Linked DNA regions of Sus scrofa. The protein of the gene in region 1 purifies or fractionates together with the protein of each later gene. This does not show direct contact. Links are inferred from orthologs where the notes say so. Each region holds a gene or a part of one and is shown on either strand. Other genes may lie near its edges. The genes, in order: VIM, SQSTM1, GAN, XPNPEP3, NES and SYNC.

Region 1 (4,947 bases):
TAGAGCCCTAATCTCCAATATGCTGACACTTATAGGTGGGGCCTTTGGAAGGTAATTAGGTTTTAGTTGAGGTCATGAGGGTGGGGCCCTTAGGACAGGATTAGTGTCCTTATAAGAAAAGGAAGTGATCAGAGCTTTTGCCCTCTTTTTTGCCACATGAGGACACAGCAAAAGGTGGCCACCTGCAAACTACCAAACAGACTCTCAGCAGACCCCAGGTCAGCTGGCACCTTGATCTTGGACTTCCTGCCCCCACAGCTGGGAGAAATAAATGTTTGGTGCTTAAGCCACCCAGCCTATGGCAATTTGTTGTAGCAGCCTGAGCTGAGACAGCAAGCACACACACACCCATCCTAAGGATACAGCTTGGGGACAGGTTGCAAAGGAGAAGGGATACCCCCCGAGATGATGATGAGGCCCCAGCGTCCCCCCCAGAGGGAGTCACCCACAGACCTGAGGAATGTGCTTTGGTCACCAACAGGGCACCCTGCCACACCGCACCAGAGCCTTGCCCTCATTTCCCCGTGGTGACTCAGTCAGCAAGCGTCCCCTGACAGCACCAGCGCATTGTCCTGGGATCAGCATTTTAGGTGGGAGGAAGGTCCACCCTCCCTTTCCCCAGAGGGAAACGGCTTTTTCTCATCCGAAGGGTTCCAGGCAAACTCACAATAGTGACATTTGCAGAGCGGAGCTCGCATAAAGGGCTCTCAGAGCATAAGTGGGCCCGCTAGGACGCCACACCCCAGGAATGCGCCTCGGGAGGGACCCGCAGAGCGGGGAGAGAATTAAGGCAATCCACAGCGGGGGAGCGGTACAGCAAGGGGTCCTGCAGCGCGACCTTGGCAGCCCCACCGGCCAGAACGAACTGAAAGGAGGTAAACAAAACACTGCCTAAAAGAGGCTTGTACAAAGAAGTGAAAATAAACCCTTCATTTGGTTCTGAACTATTTTTTCTTAAATGCCAGGCAACCTTCAGGGCCCCCCTTTCCAAAACAAAAACACAAAAGCAGAGGGAAGAATTTTATCTCCCTCCACATCCACCACTGAATCAAGATGTTTCTACTTTTGCAGTGATTTTGGAGTTAATCCGTTCAATACTCAACTCTTCTAAACACTGAAACACCACAACAATAACGACGAAAACCTGTGATTTTTAAATTGCTACGAAATCACTGACAGACTCTCTTCTCTGTTCTGCGCTTTACTCATTCCCAACAAAACCCCTTCAGTTGAGTGATTTACCTAGAAAGATTTTCAGGTTGGAATCTGAACACGCCCTTGTGCCCTGGACCAAAAGTTTTCTCCTTCTGTAGACAGCTTTATCCCCCTCACTCCAAGATGAATTGCAGGAATTCTTCTGGAAAATAGGCTAAGGGACCTGTGACATTTCTCAGACAAGTCACCAGAATCCTGCGCTGTGCATCATGCGTGAACTAAAATGAACACATAAATCTAGTCTCAAACATTCAGTCCCTTGAGTTACATAACTGCCTTTTATTAATCAAATTAAACATTTAAAGCAACATCTACTTAATTCTATAATTGGTGTAGATTATATCTTTAATGTCTCTCACTACAGCAGAAAAAGCAGTGATCACTCAATTGGATTTTGCAACTACAGAGTTTCCTCTTTCACCCAGAAACGTTCAGATCTTGTTAAAAGTCGGGTGCGGTTTTACGGGGGGAGGGGGTGGAGGAAGGCGGAGAGGAGACCGGAGGGGAGGCGGGAGGAAACTTTGCAAGAAAAACCCTCCCCAAGTGCCTTTGTGAGGCCGGAGACCGGCGTTTGGCGGTTACAGAGCCTCCGCGGAAGTTTCTTACTAAAGAGAAGCCAGCATATTGGAGCAAAATCTGGATTGGGCGCGTTCCTAAGAATTTAGGAGCGCTCTAGACTCCAAACCAGCGAACGGCACATAAGAAAGCAGAGCCCAGCTCGAAGTTGGGTAAAACTTAGAACCAACAGTACTCGCACAGTGGCCCGGGGAGACGAAAGTCAATCTCGTCTAACGGTTTTCCTGAACCGCTAGGACTCCTCAACCTCGGTGGCGGGACAGCAGAGCGCAGTGACTCACTGCCAGTGGTGACTCAGCGACCCCACCCATCTCCCCTGGGCTTTCCTTGGCCACTTCCTTGCAGCTCCTTGTCCAAAGCCGGGCCCAGCCGGTTAGGTCCCTGAACAGGAACTCCTACTACAGGAGGACGAGGAAAGTTGGGGCCGGATTGGTCCCGCTGTCCAAGCAGGCGTGCGCAAGGCTGCGCAGAGCCCAGAGCCCTGCGCCCCGGGCTGTGCGCGCCCCCACCTCGCGCTCCAATCTCAGGCCCTCTTTGTTTCTTTCTCCACGCCTTCCGATCTGCTGGATCCCTCACTCCTCTCTTCCGGCTCCTTTACCCGCGGGGCCCCCCCACCCTCGCGCTTCCAGGCGACCGCAGCCAAGGGGCCGCGCGCCCCTCCCACCCGCACGCTTCCTCCTACGCCTCCCTAGCTGGCTGGGTGCCCGGGACCCTTGTGGTTCAGTCTAGGGAGGGCTCCCCCATCACCGCGGGACCCAGCCTTTTTCATCACCCAGAGGTGAGCACACCTCAGGCCATCCTCAGGAAAGCCCCAAAAGTTCCAGTTCAGCCTCCAAGTTACTGGGGGACTGAGCATAGTCCCGGTTGCGGAGGAGGGGGGAGGAGGGAGGCTCCCGGGCTCCCCCGCCCCAAACCCCAGGCCAGCCTTCCCGCCTCTCGCCGGGTCCCCATTGGCTGGCGCACTCCGCCGCCGGGATGGCAGTGGGAGGGAACGCTCCATCCTAAGGCGGTTATAAAAACTGCGCCCTCGGCGGGGTCCCGTCCTCTGCCACTCTTGCTCCGGGGTCCCCGCGCCAGAGACGCAGCAGCGCTCCCTTTGCCCACACCCACCGCTCCCTCGCTCGCCTCTCCTCCCGGAGCCAGTCCGCGCCACCGCAGCCGCCCAGCCCACTGCCACCTCTGCAGCCATGTCCACCAGGACCGTGTCCTCGTCCTCCTACCGCAGAATGTTCGGCGGCCCTGGCACCGCTAGCCGGCCGAGCTCCAGCCGGAGCTACGTGACCACGTCCACCCGTACCTACAGCCTGGGCAGCGCGCTGCGTCCCAGCACCAGCCGCAGCCTCTACACCTCGTCCCCGGGCGGCGTGTACGCCACGCGCTCCTCGGCCGTGCGCCTGCGGAGCAGTGTGCCCGGCGTGCGGCTGCTGCAGGACGCGGTGGACTTCTCGCTGGCCGACGCCATCAACACCGAGTTCAAGAACACCCGCACCAACGAGAAGGTGGAGCTGCAGGAGCTGAATGACCGCTTCGCCAACTACATCGACAAGGTGCGCTTCCTGGAGCAGCAGAACAAGATTCTGCTAGCCGAGCTCGAGCAACTCAAGGGCCAGGGCAAGTCGCGCCTGGGGGACCTCTACGAGGAGGAGATGCGAGAGCTGCGCCGGCAGGTGGACCAGCTCACCAACGACAAGGCCCGCGTCGAGGTGGAGCGCGACAATCTGGCCGAGGACATCATGCGGCTGCGGGAGAAGTAAGACTAAGCGCCCGCGGGGCTTCAGGAGGGCGGCAGAGGGGAACCGAAGCTAACACGCCCTTGGGGATGTGGCTGGGGCGGTGGCTGCCTGGGGTACGCGGTGGGCGGGGGGAGAGCGCTGTGGCTGCTGCGGCGCAGCCCTGCCCTGAACCCAGATCTTGCAAGTTAGCATTTACCCTCTACCCCGACTCATTGCCCAAGAACGACCAAAATTCAGATTTCTTAAAACTACCACTTTGTTGTTACTCGAAGGCTCCTGCAAACGATCAGTGCGATTCCCCCAAACTTTGAGAAAGTTTCCTGGTCCCCTCTGACGGGCTGCTCTTTCCCCAGGAGCGGTGTAGGAAGCGAGACAAAGGGATTGCAGAATCTTCACGGGGGAGTGGGGTGGTGGCATTCGCCTCCCAGGTCATTGTAGCAACTGCGATTGCTTTTTACGCAGCGGCCAGGGTCCCTTTGAGATTTGCCAAAGGCAGCAGTTCTAAAAGCCATAGTCGCCGACTGCCACAGAGGTGGCGCAGCAACTCGGCTGTCTCGCGGCGAAGACGTGGTGGTTGGGTGTGGTCGCCACGCCCCTGGCGGTTTCCCAGTTCCCCTTCGGTTGATGTGCATCTCTTTCAGGTTGCAGGAGGAGACGCTTCAGAGGGAGGAAGCCGAGAGCACTTTGCAGTCTTTCAGACAGGTTTGTAGATTCTCTTCCCACTTGCAGCCACCCGACCCCACCCACCCAACCTACGGGCAGTTCTCAAAGTTACTTAACCCAAGTCTAAATCGTGCAAAACTTCTCGTCTGCTCGCCAAGCCCCCTAGTGGCAGAAAGACCACAGTTGGGAGCTTCTCCGCCTTAAAAACCCTCGAACGATTAAACCGTTCCTTCCATAGGACGTGAATAAAGTCTTTTTGACTTTGTTTCAAGATTTTTTTCCCCCAAGACATGACTTTTTTTTTCCCGTTTCGGTTCTGCAACACACTGATACTCTGATCTCGAACAGTTACAGTTTGATTCAGACTTCGGTTTGCCAAAGTCAAGCTAGCTAACTTTTACAGGGCCACACAAAGCGGAGTTCTGCCCCGTTAGTTTCAAGTGTACAATGTATTGGAGAATTAGAAACTTGGTTTAACTGGACTTAAGCCAGCAAGTTTCTTTTCTTCCATGCAAGTTCTATTGTGGCCTAAGGTTAGATGGAAGTATCCGTGTGCACAACTATTTTGTGATCTAATAAGGGTGAAAAGGAGCCATCTGTCCCCTTGGCTGAAAGGTATTAATGGTTTCTATGGGCTTCACTATGGAATGTAGATACAGACATTCTGGCAAGTGTGGTGGCTCTGGACAGGAATAATAGGAGTCTTTGTGTTCCCAGAGACTCTTTGCAACAGGCTACATTCTTATTGAGTATGTAATGA
Region 2 (5,220 bases), on another chromosome or scaffold:
GCAGGGCTCAGCAGCGGGGTATGCTGGGAAGGCTAGAACTTTTGGCTCCCAAGGAGCAGGGGTCTCCCTGCTTCCCAGAGTCCCGTTTTCTTCCACCTCCTTTCTCCCTGAGCTTTCCATCGCTCCCTGCAAACCCACCACTGTCCCAAAACAGCTAAAAGGCAAGAGAGCAAAGGTGTTGCTGGTGGCAGCATCTGTCTCAGTTACTTATTTAGACAGAGACTGTGCCTGGAGACCTCCCTGAAACTGGAGGCTCCCCAGAGCCACGGGGCTTTCCTAGCACACCCCCATGCTTGCAGATGGGGACAATCAAGCTCTAGGATGCAGGATGCCAGGCTCTTGGCCTGCCTGGCCTGCCTAGGGCTGATTGGCTCCCAGGTTGCTGAGTCATATGGGGGCACCTGTGGGCTGTTGCAGCCTCTGCCCAGCACTGCCTGCTCTGTGTTCCTTAACCCTGTCTGTAGGGCAGTGGACAGGGAGGGTAAATTTCCCAGGCTCACAGCAAGAATGAAGGGAGAATCATGAGAGGGTGACTGTCCTCTTCACAGCCCTGCTTTGGGCAGGGGTTCAAAGCCTCACCTACTCTGAAACTCTCTGGGAGGAACAAGCCACATCTGTGGCTAGGTTCCTGCTGTGATTCCACAAGCAAGTCAGCAAACTAGCCAAACCCAATCTACCTTCCCCATGGTCTCTGGGTTTCCCATTCCCTTAAGGTTTTTTGTTTGTTTGTTTGTTTTTGTCTTTTTAGGACTGCACCTGAGGCATATGGAGATTCCCAAGCTAGGGGTCGAATCAGAGCCGTAGCCGCTGGCCTCCACCACAGCCGCAGCAACCCAGGATCTGAGGCTAGTCTGCAATTTACACCATAGCTCAGGGCAACACCAGATTGTTAACCCACTGAGCAAGGCCAGGGATCAAACCTGCGTCCTCATGATGCTAGTCAGATTTGTTTCCGCTGAGCCACGATGGGAACTCCCATCCCTTTAAGTTTTACTGACTTCCACAAACCCCACCATGAAAAAAGTGAGTGTGACTCAGCAGGTCTGACTTTCTACCTACAGAGCCCTACTTGGGAGGATTCATAGGGTGACATACCCGCCTGCTTACCTTCTTCTAAGGCACCTCCTCCCCCAACAACCCCCTTCCCCTAGGCACTTTGAACAGGTCACTTCGGTTACATAAAAGAGTGTTTCTTGGCTCCTGGGGGTGGGGTAGGGTGGGGGCTGTTGATGTAATCCCTGGGCTGCCCATGAGGCCAACAGACCTGAGATCTTTCAGGCCATTGGGCACCATTTGCTGAGCTGAACCTTGAGCTGACAAGTGGGGATGGATGGGGAGTACCGATGGGGAGTCCTTAGGGCTTCAGTGAACATTTGGTGGCCACTGAGGCTCCAGGAAGCCTTAGCAGACCCCCCAGCAAGGTGGGGATGGGAAGATCCTGTGCTCTTCTGGCATCTCTCAACCCTACCCCCTATTAAACTGGAAGCTCCTCTGGTGCTCAGGTTTGAGTTGAGTGTCTGTGCTTTAACCCAGTAAAGGGCCATTAGGGGGGATGCTGGGGGCGGCGTAGTGGGCTGCCACCTGAGAAACTGGTGGCAAGAGCGGGCCCTTGACAAGAGTGGCAAGGTCAAGACAGCGCCTCGGGAGCCAATTTGTTGTAGCTAGCAGTGTCAGCAGTGTCCCCTCTTCCTGGCTTCCAGCCTCTGTTGCCCACCTCCCTCCTGAGCTGTGCATCCCCGGTGGCCTGGGTTCCGTTTTGCTGAGTCACGGCCTGGTCAGGCCTGGGAGGGGTCTAGGGCGGGACCCTGGCCGGTCCCTTGCCCCAGGTATAGAGGTAGGCGCCAGACTTAGATGTCAGCGTGCGGGGCCGGCCTCTTGGTGTCCCTGGTGCACTTGGGGCGGTGAGGAGAGGGGTCGGGAATGAGGGGGCTCAACGGCGGGGAGAGGTAGCGAGGCTGGGGCTCCTGTAGGGCGGCTCTCGCGCGACGGCCGGGGTGGCTGGAGCCAGACCTCTGACACTCAGGCCCCGCCCCCAGGAAGCGATGAGGGGCGGGGCTTCACCCGCGTTCCCTACAAAGGCCGCGCGTCCCCTCCCGCTGCCGCCGCCGCCGCCGCTACCACCGCCGGGCTCTTCTCTTGCTCCCCAACTGGTGGTCATGGCGTCGCTCACCGTGAAGGCCTACCTTCTGGGCAAGGAGGATGCGGCCCGCGAGATTCGCCGCTTCAGCTTCTGTTTCAGCCCGGAGCCCGAGGCGGAAGCCGAGGCCGCGGCTGGCCCCGGACCTTGCGAGCGGCTGTTGAGCCGGGTGGCCGCCCTGTTCCCCGTGCTACGGCCCGGCGGCTTCCAGGCGCACTACCGCGGTGAGCAGGCCGGGCGCTCTCGGGGAGCGGTGCGGGGCCGTGACGCAGTGCTGCCCTGCCGGGCAGGGTCGCTGCTCCCTTCCTTCTCGTGGGGCTTGGGGCCGCCTGCGGGAGTTTGATCGCTCGTTGGGTGGGCGGTGGCCCGCGTGGGTTCCCATTTCGGCCTTGGGTGCCATTCTGGTAGCCAGGAGTGGTGACCACAGCCAGACCTGTGGGGTCAGGCGCTGCCAGTCCCCTAGCGGATCGGGCCCGGCGACGTAAGAGGCCTCCCCTCCCCCCACCATGATGGTGCAGATCTTGGGGAGGGCGCGCGGGGGCGTCCTCACGGCGGGCACGGGGTGGTTAGAGGGGCACTCGGGTTACACTGCCACTTGGCTACTGCCCAGCTGGGGCCCGCTAGCCCCAGATGGGGGGTTCGGATAGTAACCCGGAAGAGCCTGGGCGGGCAGATGAGGGGGAAGGGCTGGCTACGCAGAAAAGTGACGAGGGTAAATAAGCAGTGGGGAGCCCTCAGGGCTGCACAGTCTGGCCGGAGGTGGGGAGGAGAGACCATAGGTTGCCCAAGGCCAGGCGGGATCCAGACGTTATCCCGTTGGCAGCGGACAGAGGGACAAGGTGAAAACATTCTCGAGAAGTGTTGGTGTAGGGACAGAGCTCACGAGCCTGCCTAGTTTCTAGCTGAGCTGGCGTGACCGGTGGCTGCGCGGGGTGGAGTTGGGGGAGGTTGTTGTGACTGGGAGGGAGGCGGGCGGACCAGGCCCGCCGGTGGGTGGGGCCGTGCCGGGACCTCCCTCAGGACTGCTGCCAGCTCGCCAGCCCCTAGCTTTTTCAAAAAAATAACTTTGAGTTCCTGTTCACATACTGTAGTTTAAAGTGTTGAGTTTTTAGTATATTCACAGATTTGCGCAGCCATTATCACAATCATCTGGGAACATTTTCATCACTTTATACACCAACTCTGTTAGCTTCCTCCCATCCCCATCATCCTATCCTCCAATCCCCAAGCGACCCCTAATCTCTATGGATTCCCCTATTCTGGACATTTCATGTAAAAATATGTAGTCTTGTAACTGGCATCTCTTATTTACATACTATTTTCAAGGTTTACTTATGTTGTAGTATGTATCAGTACTTAATTCCTTTTTGTGGATGAATAATATTGTCTTATGGTCATGCCACATCTTGTTTAGCCATTCATTAGCTGATGGGTGTTTAGGTTGTTTCTGCCTTTTTTTTTTTTTTTTTTTTTTGTCTTTAGGGTCACACCGGAGGCATATGGAAGTTCCCAGGCTGAGGGTTGAATCAGAGCTGCAGCTGCCGGCCTACGCCACAGCCACAGCAACACCAGATCTGAGCTGTGTCTGCCACTTACACCACAGCTCATGGCAACGCCAGATCCTTAACCCACTGAGCGAGGCCAGGGATTGAACCCACATCCTCATGGATACTAGTCGGGTTTATTTCTGCTGAGCCACAACGGGAACTCCCTATTTCTGCTTTTTGACACAGTCCCTGATTTTATGGTAGATGTTGTGTTTGGTGGTCCATAGACCTGACCTGGCTTGCACATGTATTGTGTGGTTGGTTCTGTGTGGTGGTGCTTTAAATCATTTCAGCTGACATCTAAAAGTTGGAGGCTTCATACAAAGACATAATTTTAGCTTCGTTGGGGAGGAAGCAGGAAGATATATTCTACTTTCCTAAGCCACAAGAGGTCCAAGAATTTTGGAGGGGCTGGAACGCCAAGGAGCCAGTTGCAGATGGGGACCTCCCACAGTTGACAGGGTCTGGTTGGATGTAGATGGAGACAGCACCTTTCTGACAGAGCAGCTGGCCCAGAGGCAGAGTGGCAGGTGGCTGGGTGCTACCACTGCTGCCCACTGCACACAGGCACTCCACCTCCCAAGTGTGCCTGGGCCCAGCTTGGAGTGCTCACCTTCCAGGCAGTGGCAGGGTGAATGAGAAGTTCGGCCCCAGCCCTGCTTGCCCCTGGCTCACCCAGGTGGGCGTCAGTTTATAGCCCTGCACAGGCCCCTTTGGCACTGGCCTCAGTCCTTTCAGCAGCTTGTGTCCAACTGGGTGTTGATGCGCTGTCTTTTAAACATTCTAGATGAGGACGGGGACTTGGTTGCCTTTTCCAGTGACGAGGAACTGACGATGGCGATGTCGTATGTGAAGGATGACATCTTCCGTATTTACATTAAAGGTAAGGGGCTGCTCTGTGCTGAGTCAAACCAGCTTGAGGTCATGGAGAAGTTGCTCCAAAGAAGGGGTGAGGAGACTATGGGCCGTTTAAGGCAGGGCCGGGATCGTCTCTGAGGAAGGGTCCGTGTCCACCATGGTGGGGAGGTCAGAGGGTCTTTGGGTTCCCTCTTTATTGTGCCTGCGGGCCAGCTTTGGGGTTGATTTTAGTGCCGGACAAGTCTAAAATGGTGCAGACGCAACTCCCTGCTGCCTCACGCCGGCCAGGCTGCACATGCCCAGGTCCCAGGTGCAGAGACAGGGAACTTCCCAGAGAGTCTCATGTTGCTGGGTTATGGTCACTTGAACCACTGAATTCCTGTGGATTTGGTGTCTGAAGAGTGGTGCTGGGGCCTGCTGACTGTGATGGCCCCGTGGTAGTGACGGGGCGGGGGGAGTGGGGGGAGTTCTCTGTGGCTCACGAGTCTCCCGACTCTCTGCCCTCCCTGCAGAGAAGAAGGAGTGCCGGCGGGACCACCGCCCCCCGTGCGCGCAGGAGGTGCCCCGCAACATGGTGCACCCCAATGTGATCTGTGATGGTTGCAACGGGCCGGTGGTGGGGACCCGCTACAAGTGCAGCGTCTGCCCGGACTACGACCTGTGCGCTGCCTGCGAGGG
Region 3 (4,461 bases), on another chromosome or scaffold:
ATGTTTTATTTTTGGCCTCACCCATGGCCAGGGATCAAACCCACACCACAGCAGTGACCTGAGCCGCAGCACTGACAACGCCGGGTCCCTAACCAGTAGGCCACCAGGGAACTTCTCTTTGTTTTTAATCCAAATTCTGGCAGTTTTATATTTCTCCTTCACCTTGAAAACTGTTTAGAGTTGTGATCTCAAAGATATCCTGGAAACATCTTCCCGTAGGATCACTAAAGCAGCTGGTCTTTCAGACCAGTCTCCCAAGGTCCATGTAACCCACAACACAGCAATGCAAGTATTAATACTTAAAAGCAATATAATATCCTTTGAATGCTCTTTTTTTATTCTCTTTTTTGGCTGCCCAGCTGCATATGGAGTTCCCAGGCCAGGGATCAGAGTTGAGCCACAGTTGGGATCTGAGCCACAGCCACGGCAATGCCAGGTCCTTAACCCACTGTGCTGAGCTGGGGATCGAACCTGCATCCCAGCGCTCCCAAGATGCCTCTGATCTCATTGCACCACAGTGGGAACTACGGCATGTTGCTTTTAATGGGAACTGTGTTTCACGCTTAAGCTGAAGGGTACGGAAGTGCGCCATGTGTGCTCCTGACCCCACCCAGCGTTCAGCGTCCTTCCCTGCTACGGAGTCGCGCTAACCCCGCAGGGGCTCTGACGCAGGAGTGGGGTGAGAAAAGGGCACAAGGCGTTCTGGCAGAGGGGTGAGGGGCGTGGGCGCTCCCTGGAGTGATTGGCGTCACCCAAGGAGAAAGCAGGAGAGTCCTCGGGAGCTTTTGTGGCAGTGCAGTTCCAAATAGGAGGGTTCTGGGAGTGACAGTCTGGGAGGGTCTTAGGGAGTATCAGGCTCATGATCCACCGTGTTACTATGTTGGGGGAGGGAGCCAGATGACAGGGCTTTAAGTCTAATATTTGTACATTAGAGACTAGCTCCAAATACTGTATTTAAAAATAAAGAAATATATTAGGTTTCAGAGTGGCTTTTATTTAATTAATTAGTTTATTTATTTTCATTTTTTCCTTTTTAGGGCTGTACATTCGACATATGGAAGTTCCGTAGGTCGAATGTCAGGGGTTGAATCAGAGCTACAGCAGCTGGCTTACACCGCAGCCACAGCAACACCAGATCCGAGCCGCATCTGTGACCTACGCCACAGCCACAGCAACGCCAGATCCGAGCTGCATCTGTGGCCTACGCCACAGCCACAGCAACGCTGGATCCTTAATCCACTAAACAAGGCCAGGGATCAAACCTGAGTCCTCATGGATCCTACGTGGTCACATTTGTTAACTGCTGAGGGAGCTCCCCAGAGTGGCTTTTAAAATCCATAATTATGGAGTTCCTGTTGTGGCTTAGCAGGTTAAGAACCTGATTAGTATCCCTGAGGATGCAGGTTCAATCCCTGGCCTTGATCAGTGGGTTAAGGATCCTGCATTGCCAAAAGCTGCAGCATAGGTTGCAGTTGCAGCTCAGATCCTGAGTTGCTGTGGCTGTGGTGTAGGCTGGCAGCTGCAGCTCCAATTTGACCCCTAGCCTCAGAATTTCCTTATGCCACAGGTGCAGCTGTATAAAGAAAAAAAAAAAATTCGGAGTTCCCGTTGTGGCTCAGTGGAGATGAATCCGACCAGTAACCTTGAGGTTGCAGGTTTGATCCCTGGCCTCACTCAGTGGGTTAAGAATATGGTAAACCAGATAGAGAAAATGTCTCCACATTAATATTATAGAAACAATGTATTATTAATAATATTAATAATATTATTGAAACTTCACAGCGGTGCATCACATGTAAATCCGGAGTGATGCTATTGCACATTAAGCCTTTTTATCAGAGCCATGGGAGGTAGAAGGGAAAGGCTCCCGGGCCCCCCCCCACCCAGGGCTGGCCCTGACCACCTGCCTGTTGAGCGATTTTAGTTGCCGCGCTTCGGAAGACGTAAAACTCTGCAAACTGTCGCTCTCTTGCGTTTTCCCTGCCCGTGCTTTCAGGTCCACATGAAGGACGTCATGTCAGCACTCTGGGTTTCAGGGTTGGACTCCAGCTACTTGCGGGAGCAGATGCTGAGTGAGCCGTTGGTCCGCGAGATCGTCAAGGAGTGCAGCAACATCCCGCTCAGCCAGCCGCAGCAGGGCGAGGCCATGCTCGCCAGCTTCAAGCCCCGGGGGTACTCGGAGTGCATCGTGACCGTCGGTGGCGAAGAGCGGGTGTAAGTGTGGCCGTGCGTGGTTTCAGAGAGAGGTGGCGGTGTCAGGAAAGAGGGATTTCCGCGTAAACAGGAATTCATAGTATGTTTCAGTATCTAAAGCATGTTACCGATAGATTTTTTAAATCTATGTTAGGGACGTCTCTTGCGGCACAGCGGGTTAAGGATCCTGAGTAGCCACTGCAGCAGCTTAGGTCGCTGCTGTGGCACAGGTTCAGTTTTCGGCCCAGGAACTTCCGCGTGGCCAAAGCCCAAATATTTTAAACATCCTTTAGAGCAGTACAACTAGTCATGGTTATTATGAGCAGAGCTCCCCAAGCCACATGAACTGCTAATCGACTCTTTGTCTTCTTAGTTCACGGAAGCCAACAGCGGCGATGCGATGCATGTGCCCCCTTTACGACCCTAACAGGCAGCTTTGGATTGAACTGGCCCCTTTAAGCATGCCGAGAATTAACCACGGAGTCCTCTCAGCAGGTACCATGCTGTGGTCAACTTTACTTAACACAAGATCTAGGAATGTGGAGTTCCCCAGTGGCTCAGCAGGTTAAGAATCCAGCCTTGTCACTGCTGTGGCTCTGGTCACAGCTGTGGCGTGGCTTTGCTCCGTGGCCTGGCAACTTCTGCATGCCACGAGCACAGCAAAGACAAACAAACAAAAAATAAAGGAGTATGTAATTTCAGGGTTGTACAGAATGACTCAAAACCTTTTACAGGCATTAAAAGATTAAAAGATACAGATTATCCCCCTGTGGTGACATCTTCAAAGTAGCTCTAGGTTTCAAGACTATGGTAAGAAGAATGCCTGAGGTCTTTATTGTTCCCATTTTTGCCCCGGTTTTTGAGACTCAGTGGCTCTTACCACCAGCTGGCTGTATGATCATACCTGAAATGCAGAATTTCTTTGAGCAGTGATGGTCCCCCATCTTTGAAATTCATGCGCTTAGAATTACAGCATGTAAATATATCCAAAATAAAAGTGTCCTGTAAAAGCAGGCATTTCCTATGAGGCTTGAGAAAATATTACTTAAATTATTTATGGCTTAAAGTTATTTTACTCCAGAAAACGTTGAGCAGAGCTCCATGTTATGCACAGTTTTCACTCCAGCAGGTGATGGAAAGGTCAGCCTTGCTGTCCTTCTCCTCCTCACGTTGGATCTGCCTTTGGGTTCATTCCACAGGTGCCACCCACTTCATTCTGGTTATTCTCGGCAGTCTTCCGGGAGTCCTTCTTTTAGGGTCTCTATTTGCCCACTGGCATTACCTTAACAGTTTTACGTTACACCACACTGTGCCCCATTTTAGAAATGGCTGAAGCTGTTGAGTAGAAGTGGAATCATTTTATAGGTTCCACAGTTATTGGAGTTTTTATCAGTAATAATCAGCAGGATGGAGTGGTGTAGGCACCAGGAGATGGGTCTGATTTCCTTGTTGTGTTTTCTCAGAATTAACTTCCTTAAATTTTCCTCCCATAATGTGTACACATGTGTATAATTTTCACACGTGCACACCTACCAGAGGAATTGGCATTTCAGAAACGGGAGACAATGAAGAGAGGAATTGTGTCCAGATTGAGTAGTTCCTCTTTGTCCAGCCTGTTCCTCTTTTTTCTTTTCTTGCCTTTTTTCAAAAGAATTAATTGACTTTTTTTGTCATTCAGTTTTTTTCCCTCTCCACCAAGTTAGAAATTATATTCTTTATCTATATTCCTTTGAAGGTTACCTGAGAAACCACAGCCTCTTTTGTTAGGTTAACAAAGTCTAAAAGTCAATCAGTACATTTAGACTCTATTTTTCACATCCCACAGTTTTACAGAATCAAAATATATGATTACTTATGTGTAAATATCTGTATACATATGTTTATTACTCTGTTTTAGACACATATGTATAGGTAGTATTTGTTTAGCTTCATTCTCATATTTACCACTTTGTTTTTCCTTCTTACTCAAACTTTCCAGCTTGGATCGTCTTCCTTCTCTTTGAAGTTCATCCTTTTGAATTTCCTTTAATGTGATTCTAGTGGTAGCAAACTCTTTTTGCTTGTTTGTCTGAAAATGTAATTATTTTGCCTTCATCTTTTAAGGATATTTTTGCTGGGTATAAACTTTTAGGTTGGCATCTATTCTTGTTCAGCACACTGAAAGATTTTCCACCCACTTCTGTTAAGTCAGTTGTCAGTTTGAAATTGTCTTTTGGAGTTCCCGTCATGGCACAGTGGAAACAAATCTCACTAGGAACCGTGAGGTTG
Region 4 (4,974 bases), on another chromosome or scaffold:
CTTACAGGTTTTTTTTCTGTTAAAAAGCAGAAATTGGCAAAAAGGTATTCTAACTTAGCAATTAAATCACTACAGTAACTAATCCTTAAGTAGTCTCAGAATTTTACATAAATAACATGAGGAAATATCTTATTTAGAGTAGCTAAAAAACCAGTAGGGAAGGGAGGAGAACTGAGAAACTTCTTAGAGAAAAAACATTATTATCCCACCAAAAGCTGATTGATCTGAACTTAAGTTTCTTCCTTAGAACAAGCTTACTGGAAGACCCATTCTTTCAAATATTTGCTAAACATGGGTTCAATGTCCCGCGCAAAAAAATTAGTAAAATAAACAGATCATTTAGGGTAGTACCTTTTAGGGCTCACATTGTTTTGCAATGTCGCTATTTATCACTGCGCGGTGCAACTAGTATGTCACCTCTCAAAATTCCTCACGTAGTAGTGAATTTTAAAAATCACTTCGGGAAAGATTTCCCTTTCTCCCTTAAATTCCTCCACAAAACGCAGAATACTAATCTCTATTACACGCTACATATCAAAACGAATTTTTGTATTTATTCATCTGTATCCCTAAATAGATTGTACTTATACTGTTTCCTCGCTAGCATTTGGCACAACGCCTGTTCAGTTAATTCCATGCACGTAGCGACGTACTCTGGAGTTAAAGATAACAAGAACAGATCGTGTTAACACGCGGGTCCTCGAAAAATCATTTTTCTTAAAGTGCCTGAAGTGATGGTACTGCCACTAATCAGATATAAAAAGCGATTCCCAAAATGATTCTACGCCCTTAAAGTCGTTGTAAATGTAATCAAAGCTAGGTATCATTTTTACAACACTTTTAAAGACACAGTGCGTAAGGGAGTTGTTTTGTGTCACTGCGACCTAAGCAGGACACCAGATTTCAAGAAAAACAACTCCACGCGAAAGCCGAGTCTCGCAGCTCGCGCCCCTCCCCCTCACGTCTTCCGTGTCCAAGTCCCCGCAATCGCCTGCATCTCGCCCAAGACACACCCCCGGCGGCCTCCGGGGGCAAGGAACGCAGCTGGGCCTCTGCCTTCCCTGCCTCTCAACTACCTAAGCTCCCCGATCCCCCACTGGACCCTCGAGGGCGCCTAGCTTTCCCGGCCACGGAGCGAGCCACAAAGCGAAGGCGACGCCACTGGCCTCGCCACCGAGCTCCAGGCTCCGCCGCCCCGCGCCAGCTCCCGCCTAGCTCCCCCTCCGGCCGTCCCTCTTCCCACCCCCAACGGTCCTCAGGCCCGGGTCTCACCTCTCCACCCACTCCCTCAGGAAGCGCATTTCCTCGGTGTGCAGAACGCTCGGGTCCTGCTTACACATTTTCACGAAGGCTCGAAGTTCGCTCACTTTGCGGGGGTCCATGGTCCGGGCGCGGCGGGAGGCGGCGGGCTCGGCGGTGGCTGTGGCCCGATTCCAGGCCCGGGCGCTGGCTCAGCGTGGCGTAAAGGGGGCGGCTGCCGCGAGGCAGAACAGACTAGAACCTCCCCGGCCGCTGGCTCCGCCCACCCAACGGTCTCGTGACCCCGGGTCCTTCGCCCGTTCATTCCTGCTCCCTTTACCTCTGCCCTGCGCACTAGCTAGAACATTCTAGAAGTGTGGCTGTTCGTGCGGTGCCTGCCTTTGCACGCACGCATTCTTACAGCCTTAACTCAGAACCACAGCTCTGCATGGTTAAGTCCCCAGCCGTGCTTTCAAGGAGGGCAGGACCTCTCGGCCCCTGCAGGGAGCCATTTAGAACAGGACATTCTGTGAGTGTGGCCACTAAATGTAACACGACGTCATGACGCCCAAAGGGCTCTCCGGCCGGAGCAGTGGTCACAGCTCCGCACGTGACGTCAACATTGGGCGCCGCCGCGGGAGGAAAGCCCGGCGAGCGGCGCCGGCCGGAAGGGGAGGGGCGCTTGGCCGAGGTTTCCTGGCGACGCAGCCCTGCGGGGCGCCGCTTCTACGGCTGTTTTTTTTTCCTTTTCTCCCAGGTCCGTGTGCGTGGCAGTCATGCCTTGGTTGCTCTCAGCAACTAAGCTTGTTCCCGCCGTAGCAAGCGCCCGCAGCCTCTCAGGTTAGACTCACCTCCCACAGTGTCCCCTCCAAGGCTTGCTCGCTGAGAAGCCTGAGGCGCACCAGAGGGAACCACGTCGATCTCGGGAGATTCCTGGTTCGGCGGACCCTTCTCCTGCTGGGGCCTCCACTCCCAGACCCTCTGTGCGCTCCTGGGATTTCTTCTCTACCTGCTGCTTCTGGAAAAGGGTGGGCCTTGTGTTCGCTCTACCGTTGAGGTATTCGGGGAGGTTGAAATGATTGCAGAGAGAAAAGCGTGCCCTGTCTTCCCGCAGGGGCTGTCTTCACAGTAACTTGGACTCATGGAAGTTGTAGCAGGTATCACACTTGCTCAGGTGTCAAAGTGTCTCACATCGAGTGACTCTCGTTTCTATTAAGTGAACGTAAGATTGTATTTTCGTGTTTTCAAAGATTTAACAGCTCCAGAATGGACAAGAAACGAATGTTTGCTAATACAAATTCTTTTGAGTAGTTCCCTGTCAGAGATACTCGTGAGGCTTTTTATGTCTGGAAGCCTTGCTTGTTAAGGCCAGATGGAGTAGTCCGGGAATATGGGGGCCATTTTTTTAGGGTGTACTCTGTCACGAACAATTAAAGTTCTTTGCCTTTACTTGTGACTTTTGCATTTGTTGAGGCTTTGTGTAAAACGTGATTAATCAAGGTTTAGGGCAAGGTACTGTATTTGGTACACACCAAAGTATTCATAATGCTTCGTTTTGCTTCAGCAGTATAAATAACTTTAACCACCTCTTAATGTTAATATAATATACATAGATAGGCTTTTTGAATGAGTGAATGATGAATGATCCTCTTGGATCGTTGCAATTCCAATAAGTTAGAGCAAATACCATTTTACCGATGGGGAACTGAAACTAACACAGTAACAAGTAAGAAGTCAGGAATGTTAGTTGTATGATTGCCATCTAGACCTTTTGCTGTTATACCTCTACTTGGTCTTACTCTGGCTTAGTAGAGCCCTTTTGGAACTTTTTTTTGGGGGGGGGTGTCTTTTTGGAGCCACACCCATGGCATATGGAAGTTCCTAAGCTAGGGGTCTAATCAGAGCTGCAGCTGCCGGCCTATGCCACAGCCACAGCAACTCGGGATCTGATCTGCGTCTGCGACCTACACCACAGCTCACAGCAATGCTGGGTCCCTAATCCACTGAGCAAGGCCAGGGATTGACCCTTCATCCCCATGGATGCTAGTCAGATTCGTTTCTGCTGAGCTACTCCATCTTTTGGAACTTTTTAGTAAGCCAGAAAGAATGTATCTTCAGTTAACAACTTTTTAGTCGTCATTGTGGATGAATCTCCACTTCACTAGAGTTGCTCTCAGTCCAGGTAGATGTTAGAAAAGCAACGGATAAATAAGAATATAGCAAAGGATGATAATAGTGTCTTGACTCAAGTGACATGGGGGCTCAAGCAAGGCAGTAATGGGTTGTAAATATGTTATTCTAGGATTTTATTAAGTTTTAGAAAATTCCGCTGGCTTTTGGTGGTCATAAATAGAACTTTGAATGTCTGTGGTGCTCTTGCTTGTCCTTGTTAGAAAGGCCCTTCTGTGTATTGAGCACCGTAGGGAACTTTCTCTTCTGGGAAATTCAGTGCATTCTCAAAGTGAAAATGTTTTGACTAGCTAATTTGAGTGTGATTTCATTTGTTGTAATCTATAGATATTAACACCATCTAGTCATTTGAGAAAGGGCAAAATGTGGAATGATGCATCAGTTATATATATATATACTTTTTTTTTTTTGTCTTTTTGCTATTTCTTTGGGCTGCTCCCGCGGCATATGGAGGTTCCCAGGCTAGGGGTCGAATCAGAGCTGTAGCTGCTGACCTACACCAGAGCCACAGCAATGTGGGATCCGAGCCGCGTCTGCAACCTACACCACAGCTCACGGCAACGCTGGATCGTTAACCCACTGAGCAAGGGCAGGGACCGAACCCGCAACCTCATGGTTCCTAGTTAGATTCGTTAACCACTGCGCCACGACGGGAACTCCAGTAATTTATATTTAAAAAGACTAGGTCATTTAAGATAAATGTAAGTGTGAGTAAGGAAGGGGAATATTGAAAATATTAAAGATTAAGTAGAAAATGAGTTTAAAAGCCTGTTTGCAGTTTGTTCATGTAACAAACATTGAGAGAGTTCGTGGTGGTGCAGCAGTAGCAACCGGACTCGTGTTTAATCCCTGGCCTTGCTCAGTAGGTTAAGGATTCTGCATTGCTGTGAACTGCTGGTGTAGGTCGCAGACACGGCTCAGATCTGGTGTGGCTGCAGTTGTGGTGTAGGCCAGCAGCTACAGCTCCAGTTCGACCCCTGGACCAGAAACTTCCATGTGCCACAGGTGCAGCCCTAAAAAGCCAAAAAAAAAAAAAAAAAAAAAGAAAACCAAAAAAACCCAGCCTTTAATTGAGCATCACACATGAGCACTGAGCACAAAAAGTTTCTATCATCATAGGAGATAGACGAAAAAGCAAGTAATTATAATATTCTTATGGGGAGAAGGAAAAGGTGTTATTTTCTGGAGGCAGAGAAATATGGTCGTGACTTTAAAAGATTAGGAGATATTTGATGTGAGACTTGAAAGAAAGCTTTCACCAAGCCAACTGGAATAATGGAGCCATCCTGGCGGACATAACATCTAAAGTCACAGAACTCTGTAATAGAAAGACTGGTACAAAGCTTTTAAATCATTAACAAGCACGAAGAAGCTTTTTTGAAGTATGTCTTTTTTTTCTTTTTAATTTTTTGGGGTTTTTTTGGTCTAAAAAGGGCTGCACCCCTGGCATACGGAGGTTTCTAGGCTAGGGGTCGAATCAGAGCTGTAGCTGCCAGCCTACGCCACAGCCACAGCAATGCCAGATCCAAGCCACGTCTGCGACCT
Region 5 (4,331 bases), on another chromosome or scaffold:
GGTATCCTGACTTCAAGGCCTTCAGGCCCCACCTAATCCAGGAACCCCTGGTCCCTCCCTGCCCCACACAGGGAGCAGAACTCTTGGGAAGTGGGGTGGGGGGAGGTTTGAAGTTGTTGCTGGATGAACCTTCAGATCTAACCCCAGTTATCAGCACACCCTCTCACTTTTTTTTTTTTTTTTTTTTTTGGCTGCCCAGAGGCATATGGAGCTCCGGGGCCACGGATTGAATCCAAGCCGCAGTTGCAACCTAAGCCACAGCTGCAGCAACACTGGATCCTTAACCCATTGTGCCGGGCTGGGGTTCAAACCTTCGCGTCTCAGGGCTCCCAAGATCCCATAGCGCTGATCCCATAGTGCCACAGCCAGAACTCCTCCCCTCACTCTTGTTTCACTCCCGACAGCTTCAGTCTATCCCCCTCCCCCCTCCTGCCTTCCCTGTCTCCCTTTTCAACACGGGAGAAAAGTCCTATTCAGATCTAAGCTGTAGCCCTCCGGCTTCTTCCCTTGGCCTCCCTCCTGCTGTCCCTGCCCTTGGGGGGCCCCCAGGTCACCGGGCCCAGCATCCCGCACTGTGTGGCTGAATCGAGGTTCGAGGTTCAGAGAGGTTAAACACTGACCTGAGGCCACACAGCCCAACTAACGGCAGAAGAGGCCTCCCTCCCGTCCCTCACCCGGCTCTGACCCGCCAGACTGAGCAGACACTAAAGCCAGACAATTGTTTGGGTTTGGGGGAAGGGGGCTTATTATGCTGGCGGCAGTGAGAGCCGGGAGGACAGGCGAGGGTGGGGGTGGCCGAGGGCCTAATCCCTGTAATCAGCGCTGCGGGCAGAGATGATGATGGGCCTGGTCTCTGCCAGCCCCGAGGTCACCTGGGCTGGCCCCTCCCTGTCCCCATCAAGCGCACCGCACCCGCAGCACTCCCCGGTCCCCAGCCCTGCTGCCTGCAGTCTTAATCTGTCTTCCCTTTCTTCCACCCCCCTCACCTCTGCCTCCCAGGCTCTCCCCTGCTCCCCTGCTTAATCTGTCTCCCCCTCCTTCCCCCCTCCCCGTCCACCCCCCCACCTCCCTCCCCGCCTCCCAGGTCCTCCTCTCCCCACCCGCCTCTTCTGCTTCTGTGTCAGCCCTGACCGAAGCCCCCCCTGAATTGAGGAAGGAAGAGTCCAGACTTTGTAAGTGGAGGCAGTACTTTATTCAGGCAGGGATGAGGCAGAGGGGGCCACAACAAGGCAGGAATATGGGGGGATCAGGACACAGGAGCACCCCCTCACCCTCATTAGCCACTAACCAGATGCCGGCCCAAGCCCCGCCCTGTGAAGAAAGGCAGAGCCCCCGCCCCCCTCAGAGATTTTCCAGCTGATGGGAGGAGGGGAAGGGGTGCCCAGAAGAGGGGCCCTAGTTATTGAGATTCAGTTGGCTTCAGCCTCAGGGGACAAGGCAGGCAGGATGGCCCCCTCTGCAGGGTCTGAGGGTCTGAGAGTTTACTCCTGGAGCCTCCATTCGTGGGACAGGTCCCTTTGCCTCACCCATCTCACCTTGGCCAGCCTGGCCTCTGAGACAGAAAGGGCAGGTCAAGAGATCATAGTTAAGGGTGCAGCCCCCTCAGTGGGAGGGGCGCTTGGGGACATCTCCCCCCAACACAAGTCCTCAGTGCCCTAGGGGAGCTCCCTCTCTAGTCCTCCCCTGAGGACCAGGAATCTCCATCTCCCTCTCTCTGAGTGAACGGCAGGAACTGGCTCTGGCCCAGGTGAAGAGGAGCCCCTGCCCAAGGGGTCTTCAGGGCGCCCCCCTCCTCCCCCTCCAAGGGGGTCCCTTGGACCCCCTCCAGGGCCCCTGCTTTCCCCTGCCCCACACCCACAGGCTGCTCCAGCCCATTCACCACCCCCCCATTCACATGCTCCAGCTCTTCCTTCAGGCTGGGGCCCTGGCCATTGACACCAAAAGTGTCCCCTACCTCCAAGGCCATGTCCTCCACCCCACCGAGGGTCTCCAGAGGGCCGGGGATGTGGTCCTGCCTCTCCAAGGGAGCAGCAGCGGACTCTTCCTCTGAGCCCAAGGCCTCAGCGCTGTCCTGGGACCCAGTCTCCAGGGCAGTCATGGGGGCATCGAATGCCACGCCCCTCGAGCCGTCATCCCAGGGGACACTGACATCCACGGCCTCAGACCCCAGGAGGCTCCCTCTCTGAGGGTCACTCAGGGCCGGGAGGCTGCCAGCAGAGGGCCCTGGCCCGCACCGCCCAGCCCCTGGCTTCCTGCCCTCCTCTTCTTCATCTTCTTCCTCTCCTTCCTCCCCGCTCTCCTCATCTGCAAACCCGTCGGACTCCCCATCCCGATCCCAGGCTGCAGGCTCCAGAAGCAGCTGGGGCACCTGGCCCAAAGGTTCTGCCACCTGCCCAGGGACCCCAGGAAGGAGAGACGCCTCCGTCCCTAGGTCCTCAAATTCTTCTGACAGTTCAGAGTCACGGCCACGTTCCTCCTCCTCATCTCCCTCCTCCTCTGAGGGGTGGGCCCCCAGGCCCTCAGGGGCCAGGGCAGCGGGACCCCAGCCTTCCTTCCTGGTCTCCCCTTGAGGGGAGGGCCTCTGCTCTCCAGCCAGGTCCCACTTGGGGGAAGCAGGGGACCTGAGGTAGAAGCCCAGAGGAGTGGAGTCGGGGAGGGTCTCCCCTAGCTCATCGGCCTCACTCTCTTCTCTGCTCTCTTCCTCCTCCTCCTCCTGGAGGCCCTCAGGGATTTCCCCAGAGCCCAAATCCTCCTGCTCCCCCTCAGGGACCTCAGCCCTGCCCTCCAGCCCCCAGCCAGTCTCTTGGGTCCCCTCAGCCAGGCACTGGGGCCCAAGTGCATCTTCAGGGTTTGGGGTGGGTGATGAGGACTCAGCGGGCCTTGGGCTGGGGGGCCCCAGCACGGATTCTGCCTCTTCCTCTGCTCTCTCTGACCCCAGGGGCCTGGGTTGAGGGGCATCACTTCCACTGTGGTGCAAGGTCTCAGTGGGGAAGGCCTCCTCTGCTTCCCCAGGGGCCTCAGGCTTTGATTCCTCCCAGCCGCCCGGAGCCTCCAGCAAGTCTCTCCTCTCGCTGGGCAGTGCAGCGAGCTCTGGCTCCAGAGCAACCGCCTCTGCTAGCTCCTTTCTGGGCCCTTCCAAGCCCTGCACCCTCTTTGCTTCCAAACCTTCTTCTCCCAGGGGTGACTCTGTCACATCCTCTCTGGCCAGGCCACCTGACTCCTCCAGGCTTCCTGCCTCCTGCTCTGGCCCCTGCTCCGCTCCCATGGACTCGGACTCGCCCACAGCAGCCTCCAGCCCCAAGGCGACCTCTGGGGAGGCTTGGCCATCCGCAGGGGGCACATCATCTTCCAACACGGGCTCTATCACCTCTGAGATTCCCTGGGGAGCTCGGAAGCCTGGAGCCCCCTCCTGCCCTGGCCTCTCTTCAGGGTCTTGGAAGCCCTGGGTGCCTCCCTCCCCACTGGCTCCCTCAGCTGGGACGCTCTGCTCTTCGGGCTCAAGGCTCCCTGGCTGCCCCCCACCTGTGCTCCAGGCCTCCCCCGTGGCCTCTCCTGCCTGCTCTCCAGCCTCCCCCTTGCCATCGATGCCATCCTGTTCTCTCTGATCCAGGTCTGCCTTGTCCTCACTGTCCACTCCAGCCTTCCCAGGGGGCGCTTCCTGATCCAGTTCTCGTTGCACCCCGCCCACATCGTCCCACTTCTGTTGATGTGCAGAGGGTGGCGTCGCCTGTTCCTCCTCCTCCAGAGACCTCGGTGGCTCTGGAGTCTCTCTCTTCTCTACGTTCTCTTCCGCTTCCAGGTACCTCTGACTTTCCTTGCCTTCTTCCTCTGGAGATCTCCAATTCTCTAGGTTCCTCTCTCCCAGGGAGCTCAGTGATGCTCGATGCTCCTTTTCTAGGGGGCTCAATGTCTCTTGGTTCCCTTCCCCAGACCCCAGTGGTTCCTGACTTTCCTCTTCTAGACGTTTCGCTATGTCTTGGTTTTCCTCTCCTATAGACTTCAGTGCTTCTAGAGTCTCCGTTTCTGAACATCTCACTGCCTCTATACTCTCTTCATTTAGGGACCTTAATAACGCTTGATTATCTTTTTCTAGAGGTCTATCTATCTCCTGGGCTTTTTCAAGAGATTCTAGTGGCTCTGGTTTCACCTCTTCCAGAGGTCTCAGTGTCACCTGGTCTTCTTCTCCTAGAGACTTCAGTGGCTGTTGAGCTTCTTTTTCTAGAGGTCTCAATGTGTCCTGGTTCTCATCTTCTGGAGACCTCAGTGGCTCCTGATTCTCTTTTTCTGGAGATCCTGTTGTCTCCTGGTCTTCTAGAGACCTCAGTGACTTC
Region 6 (4,461 bases), on another chromosome or scaffold:
GGTACCTCATTGTAGCTTTGATTTGCTTTTCTCTAATAATTAGTGATGTTGAGCATTTTTTCATGTGCCTGCTGGCCATCTGTGTGTTTTCTTTGGAGAAATGCCTCTTTAGGTCTTTTGTCCATTTTTTGATTTTTTTTTTTTTTTTTTTTTTTTTTGCCTTTTAGGGCCACACTTACAGCATATAGAGGTTCCCAGGGTAGGGGTCAAATCAGAGATATAGCTGCTGTCCTACACCACAGCTTCAGCAACATCAGATCTGAGCTACTCTGCAACCTACACCACAGCTCATGGCAACGCCAGATCTGTAACCCACTGAGCAAGGCCAGGGATCGATCCCAAAACCTCATTTCCACCACGGCATGTGGAAATTACTGGGCCAGCACTTGTGGCCTGTGCTGGATCCTCAACTGACAAAGGTTTACTCTCCAAAATACACAAACTACTCATACAACTCAACAAAAAAAACAGGAGTTCCCATCTCGGCTGGTGTTGCTGTGGCTGTGGCACAGGCCAGCAGCTATAGCTCAGATTCGACCCCTAGCTGGGGAACTTCCATATGCCACGGTGCGGCCCTAAAAAGACAAAATAAATAAATAAAAATAATAATATTAAAAACAAACAAAAAAATGTCTAGTAGCCACACTAAAAATGTAACAGGTGAAATTAATGCATTTTATTTAACTCAATATATCAAAAATATTATCATTGCAACATGATTAAAACCTGAGGCATTAGGAGTTCCTGTTGTGACTCAGCGGTAACAAACCTAATATCCATGAAGATGCAGGTTCGATCCCTGGCCTCCATCAGTGGGTTATGGATCCGGCCTTGCTATAAGCTGTAGTGTAGGTCGCAGAGTGGCTCAGCCCCCACTTTGCTGTGGCTGGCAAATGCTGCTCCAATTCGACCCCATCCCTGGAACTTCCACATGCCGCAGGTTGTGGCCCTAAAAAGACAAAACAAAAATTTGAAGTATCATACACACACTCACATTTATATGTATACCCACACATTTCATGTGTGTATGCCAAGTCTTAGAAATCTGCTGGGTTATCTTACACTACAGCACATCGACTAGCTCTATTTCAAGTATTCAGTAGACAGAGGTGGCTAGTGACTTCCATACTGGACAGTGAAAACCAGAGGAGAAATGGAAGGTCTAGTCAAACTAGAGAGGGTCTGAATGCCAGACTAAAGAAAGTGGAAAGCCTATAAATGATGGAGATGATAAAGCAGTTTTAGGAAGTTAACCTAGTGGTGCCTCATATGATTGACTGGAGACTGTCCTTAATGCTTGTCCTTCTAACAATACTTCATCCTCTGTTAAGAGCTTATCATTGATGGGGCAGACTCCTTCCCAAGCATGTACTTTTGAGGCCTGGGAAAGTGGGGCACAGAGATATGCAGATGCTCTCCTTTAGAGAACATGCTCGTAGGTGGTTAAGGCCTCATCTGTGTGGAAATGTGGTTAGGCACTAAAAAAGACCTTTTGCCAATGTTGATGAAAGTTGAGATTCAGGAGTTTCCGTCGTGGCTCAGTGGTTAACGAATCCGACGAGGAACCATGAGGTTGCGGGTTCGATCCCTGGCCTTGCTCAGTGGGTTAAGGATCCCGCGTTGCTGTGGCTGTGGTGTAGGCTGGTGGCTACAGCTCCCATTAGACCCCTAGCCTGGGAACCTCCATATGCCGCAGGAGCGGCCCAAGCAATGGCAAAAAAGACAAAAAAAAAAAAAAAAAAGACAAAAAAAAAAGAAAGTTGAGATTCAACCAGAGTATCAAACACTGCAGATTGACACGCCACAGATATATCAAGAATTACTCAAAGAACGAATTATTTAGGCTCTTTTAATGATAGTATGCACCCAAACTTGGATTCTTAGGTTATTATTCTTCAAAATCAGAATTTTGAAGAATTTCCTACAAGGTGCAGTGGGCTAAGGATCTGGTGTTGACACTGCAACAGCTTGGGTTGCTGCTATGGGTTGGGTTTGATCCTTGGTGTGACCAAAAAAACCAAACAAATTTAAAAAAATGAAAATATCTTCCAATTCTAGTGCTCCCTTCCCAACTCCCCCAATGCTTCCTGGGGGCCCATGTCAGCTAGCTATAAAGCCAGAGACCGATGTGCTGACATCTTCCTTAGGTCTTTCCTCAGGTATTAATCCTAGGCAGAGACAATGTACAGAACACATCCTGCCCAGTTTCAGTAGAATGGGAAGCAGTCATGTGAGGACCCCTGAGGGCCTCCAGGACATAACACCTCCACCTTCCAACTTAGCACTTTAGAATCAACTGTCCTTATGCATAGCAAGCAAAGGATATAGAAAATGAACAACCATGATATCCTCAATAATAAAGCATCTATTTGCACCTTATAGTAAGTACTAAGATATCTGACTTAAAGGAGCTTCAAATATAAAACCATATTTACCGTTTTTCCTTTGAATAAACAACTCAAACATCTTCTAAAAACGGACTTGTTATAGAACAACTTTCCTAAAATTCTAGTTAATATTCAAGAAAAATTACTTACACAAAGACTTGATTTCTTTCAACATAACATGATTAGGAGTTCCTGCTGTGGCTCAGCAGTAACAAACCCAATTAGTATCCATGAGGACGGGGGTTCAATCTCCGGCCCGGCTCAGTGGGTTAAGGATCTGGCATTGCCCTGAGCTGAGGTATAGGTTGCAGATGTGGCTCGGACTTGTATTGCTGTGGCTGTGACAGAGGTTGGCAGCTAAAGCTCTAATTGACCCCTAGCCTGGGAACTTCCATATGCTGCAGGTGCAGCCCTAAAAAGACAAAAAAAAAAAGAAAGCTGTAGTAAACAGGCAAGATGCCTTTTAGGTCACCACTTTCAAAAATAGTATGTCAAAACAATGTCTTTGGAGCTGGCTGTAGCACAGTGGGTTAAGGTCTTGTCACTGCATTGCATTGGCTCAGGTTTGATTCCTAGCCTGGGAACTTTCTCGTGCCACGGGCATGCCAAAACCCCCCACAGCTTCTTAAGATAATGAATCTGTCAGTCAACCTCAACACTGCTCTGCAGATTAAACAATGTGTAAGAAAGTGCTTTGTAATATTACAATGTCAGGTTTTTCTTGTTTGGCTCATCAGAAATGTTCTTGATCCTCTCATGCAGGAACAGCTGGAGGAAATGGAAGAACGGCAGAGGCAGCTAAAAAGTGGGGTGCAACTCCAGCAACAGAAGAACAAAGAGATGGAGCAGCTAAGGATCAGCCTTGCTGAAGAGCTCTCAACTTATAAGTCAGTTTTTGCTTCTACCCAAATCTCAACCAACCCCAACGTTGGGGAGGGCTGATGTTGCTCAGGGGAAATTTCTCTTGACAGTGAAAAGCCAAAAAAGTAGTTTGAGAAGTGATTTTCAAATTGTGCTCACCCTTAGACAGATGGAAAATGGCTTTCTTTTTTTTAAGGGCTATGCTACCCAAGAGCCTGGAACGGGCTAGTGCTCCCACTTCTGAGGCGGGTGGAATTGAGACACAGTCTCAAGGTGATCCTTGTGGGTACAAGAATGGTGTTTGCATTGAATTGCTGCTTTCCTAATCTAAAAATACTAATGCCTTAAAAAAATACTAAGTGTGTGTCTAATGACAAATAAGTCATTTAGGGATAACATATACCTGCAAATGCATTCAGGCTTCATTTGGAGTGTTTCAATTTCTAGCAGGACTTAAAGTTTGCCTGAATTATCATCAGGAAGTCTAGAACAGGATACAACATCTAGGTTCTGTGCATTTCTACTTTCCTCATCCTACCTGACCCCATCTGCTAACTCAGTTATGCTGCCTGATTCAGACTATGACAAAAAAGGCTAAATTAAACTGTTAACAGTTGTGTCAGAAGCTGAAGAGGGTGTTGTTTATAGACTAAAGGTACATAACTGTTGCTTACTTTGCTAAACAAGCAACACTTATCCACTAATTTCTTTACTTAACAGTATGTTCTCTATTCTTCATATTCTCCTGGATAAAGAAACTAAGGATTAAAAAAGGTCTGTCAAGTTCAATACTAGATCAATGTCCCTAATTTTTTTATGGCCGCACCCCAGCATATGTAAATTCCCAAGCCATTGCAGTCAGATTTTTCTTTTCTGATCCCATTGCACCACAGTGGGAACTCCTTGCAGTTGGATTCTTAACCCACTGCACCACAGCGGTAACTCCCAAATGTCCATAATTTTTAATTCCCTAAGTAATCCTACATCCTAGATACAAATTCACAAATAATTATTATAACTGGTACTTCCCCTAACTTCCTAGGGTTTTGTTTTAATTTTTATTTGCTAGCCACACCTGCAGCCTATCCAAGTTTCCAGGCCAGGGATCAAATCCTAGCAGCAGCTGAGACCTATGCCAAGCTGTGGCAAAGCTGAATCTTTAACACACTGTGCCAGGCCAGGGATCAAACTTGCACAGCCCCAGAGACAATGC

Evidence for each region.
Region 2: the proteins of VIM (region 1) and SQSTM1 purify together in Homo sapiens (affinity purification with western blotting; 3 studies listed by BioGRID and IntAct, with this or other methods). This does not show direct contact. The link is inferred for Sus scrofa from reciprocal best matches to the Homo sapiens genes VIM and SQSTM1.
Region 3: the proteins of VIM (region 1) and GAN purify together in Homo sapiens (affinity purification with mass spectrometry; 3 studies listed by BioGRID and IntAct, counting the BioPlex papers as one, with this or other methods). This does not show direct contact. The link is inferred for Sus scrofa from reciprocal best matches to the Homo sapiens genes VIM and GAN.
Region 4: the proteins of VIM (region 1) and XPNPEP3 purify together in Homo sapiens (affinity purification with mass spectrometry; 3 studies listed by BioGRID and IntAct, with this or other methods). This does not show direct contact. The link is inferred for Sus scrofa from reciprocal best matches to the Homo sapiens genes VIM and XPNPEP3.
Region 5: the proteins of VIM (region 1) and NES purify together in Homo sapiens (affinity purification with mass spectrometry; 3 studies listed by BioGRID and IntAct, counting the BioPlex papers as one, with this or other methods). This does not show direct contact. The link is inferred for Sus scrofa from reciprocal best matches to the Homo sapiens genes VIM and NES.
Region 6: the proteins of VIM (region 1) and SYNC purify together in Homo sapiens (affinity purification with mass spectrometry; 3 studies listed by BioGRID and IntAct, counting the BioPlex papers as one, with this or other methods). This does not show direct contact. The link is inferred for Sus scrofa from reciprocal best matches to the Homo sapiens genes VIM and SYNC.

The regions. Positions count from the first base shown.
Region 1 is NC_010452.4:43,514,662-43,519,608, forward strand, and holds the start of VIM (vimentin), read left to right. Parts: upstream 1-1,779; 5' UTR 1,780-2,978; coding exon 2,979-3,541; intron 3,542-4,165; coding exon 4,166-4,226; intron 4,227-4,947. UniProt on the Homo sapiens protein: Vimentins are class-III intermediate filaments found in various non-epithelial cells, especially mesenchymal cells. Vimentin is attached to the nucleus, endoplasmic reticulum, and mitochondria, either laterally or terminally.
Region 2 is NC_010444.4:78,760,821-78,766,040, reverse strand, and holds the start of SQSTM1 (sequestosome-1), read left to right. Parts: upstream 1-2,042; coding exon 2,043-2,361; intron 2,362-4,471; coding exon 4,472-4,567; intron 4,568-5,054; coding exon 5,055-5,220. UniProt on the Homo sapiens protein: Molecular adapter required for selective macroautophagy (aggrephagy) by acting as a bridge between polyubiquitinated proteins and autophagosomes.
Region 3 is NC_010448.4:6,951,418-6,955,878, reverse strand, and holds part of GAN (gigaxonin), read left to right. Parts: intron 1-1,996; coding exon 1,997-2,214; intron 2,215-2,566; coding exon 2,567-2,688; intron 2,689-4,461. UniProt on the Homo sapiens protein: Probable cytoskeletal component that directly or indirectly plays an important role in neurofilament architecture.
Region 4 is NC_010447.5:7,579,904-7,584,877, reverse strand, and holds the start of XPNPEP3 (probable Xaa-Pro aminopeptidase 3), read left to right. Parts: upstream 1-1,897; 5' UTR 1,898-2,015; coding exon 2,016-2,079; exon of another isoform or gene 2,080-2,380; coding exon of another isoform or gene 2,381-2,396; intron 2,397-4,974. Other genes in the region: ST13 (hsc70-interacting protein), read right to left, coding at 1,273-1,382. UniProt on the Homo sapiens protein: Catalyzes the removal of a penultimate prolyl residue from the N-termini of peptides, such as Leu-Pro-Ala. Also shows low activity towards peptides with Ala or Ser at the P1 position.
Region 5 is NC_010446.5:93,418,738-93,423,068, reverse strand, and holds the end of NES (nestin), read right to left. Parts: coding exon 1,673-4,331; 3' UTR 1,170-1,672; downstream 1-1,169. UniProt on the Homo sapiens protein: Required for brain and eye development.
Region 6 is NC_010448.4:89,008,949-89,013,409, reverse strand, and holds part of SYNC (syncoilin), read left to right. Parts: intron 1-3,149; coding exon 3,150-3,274; intron 3,275-3,444; coding exon 3,445-3,574; 3' UTR 3,575-4,461.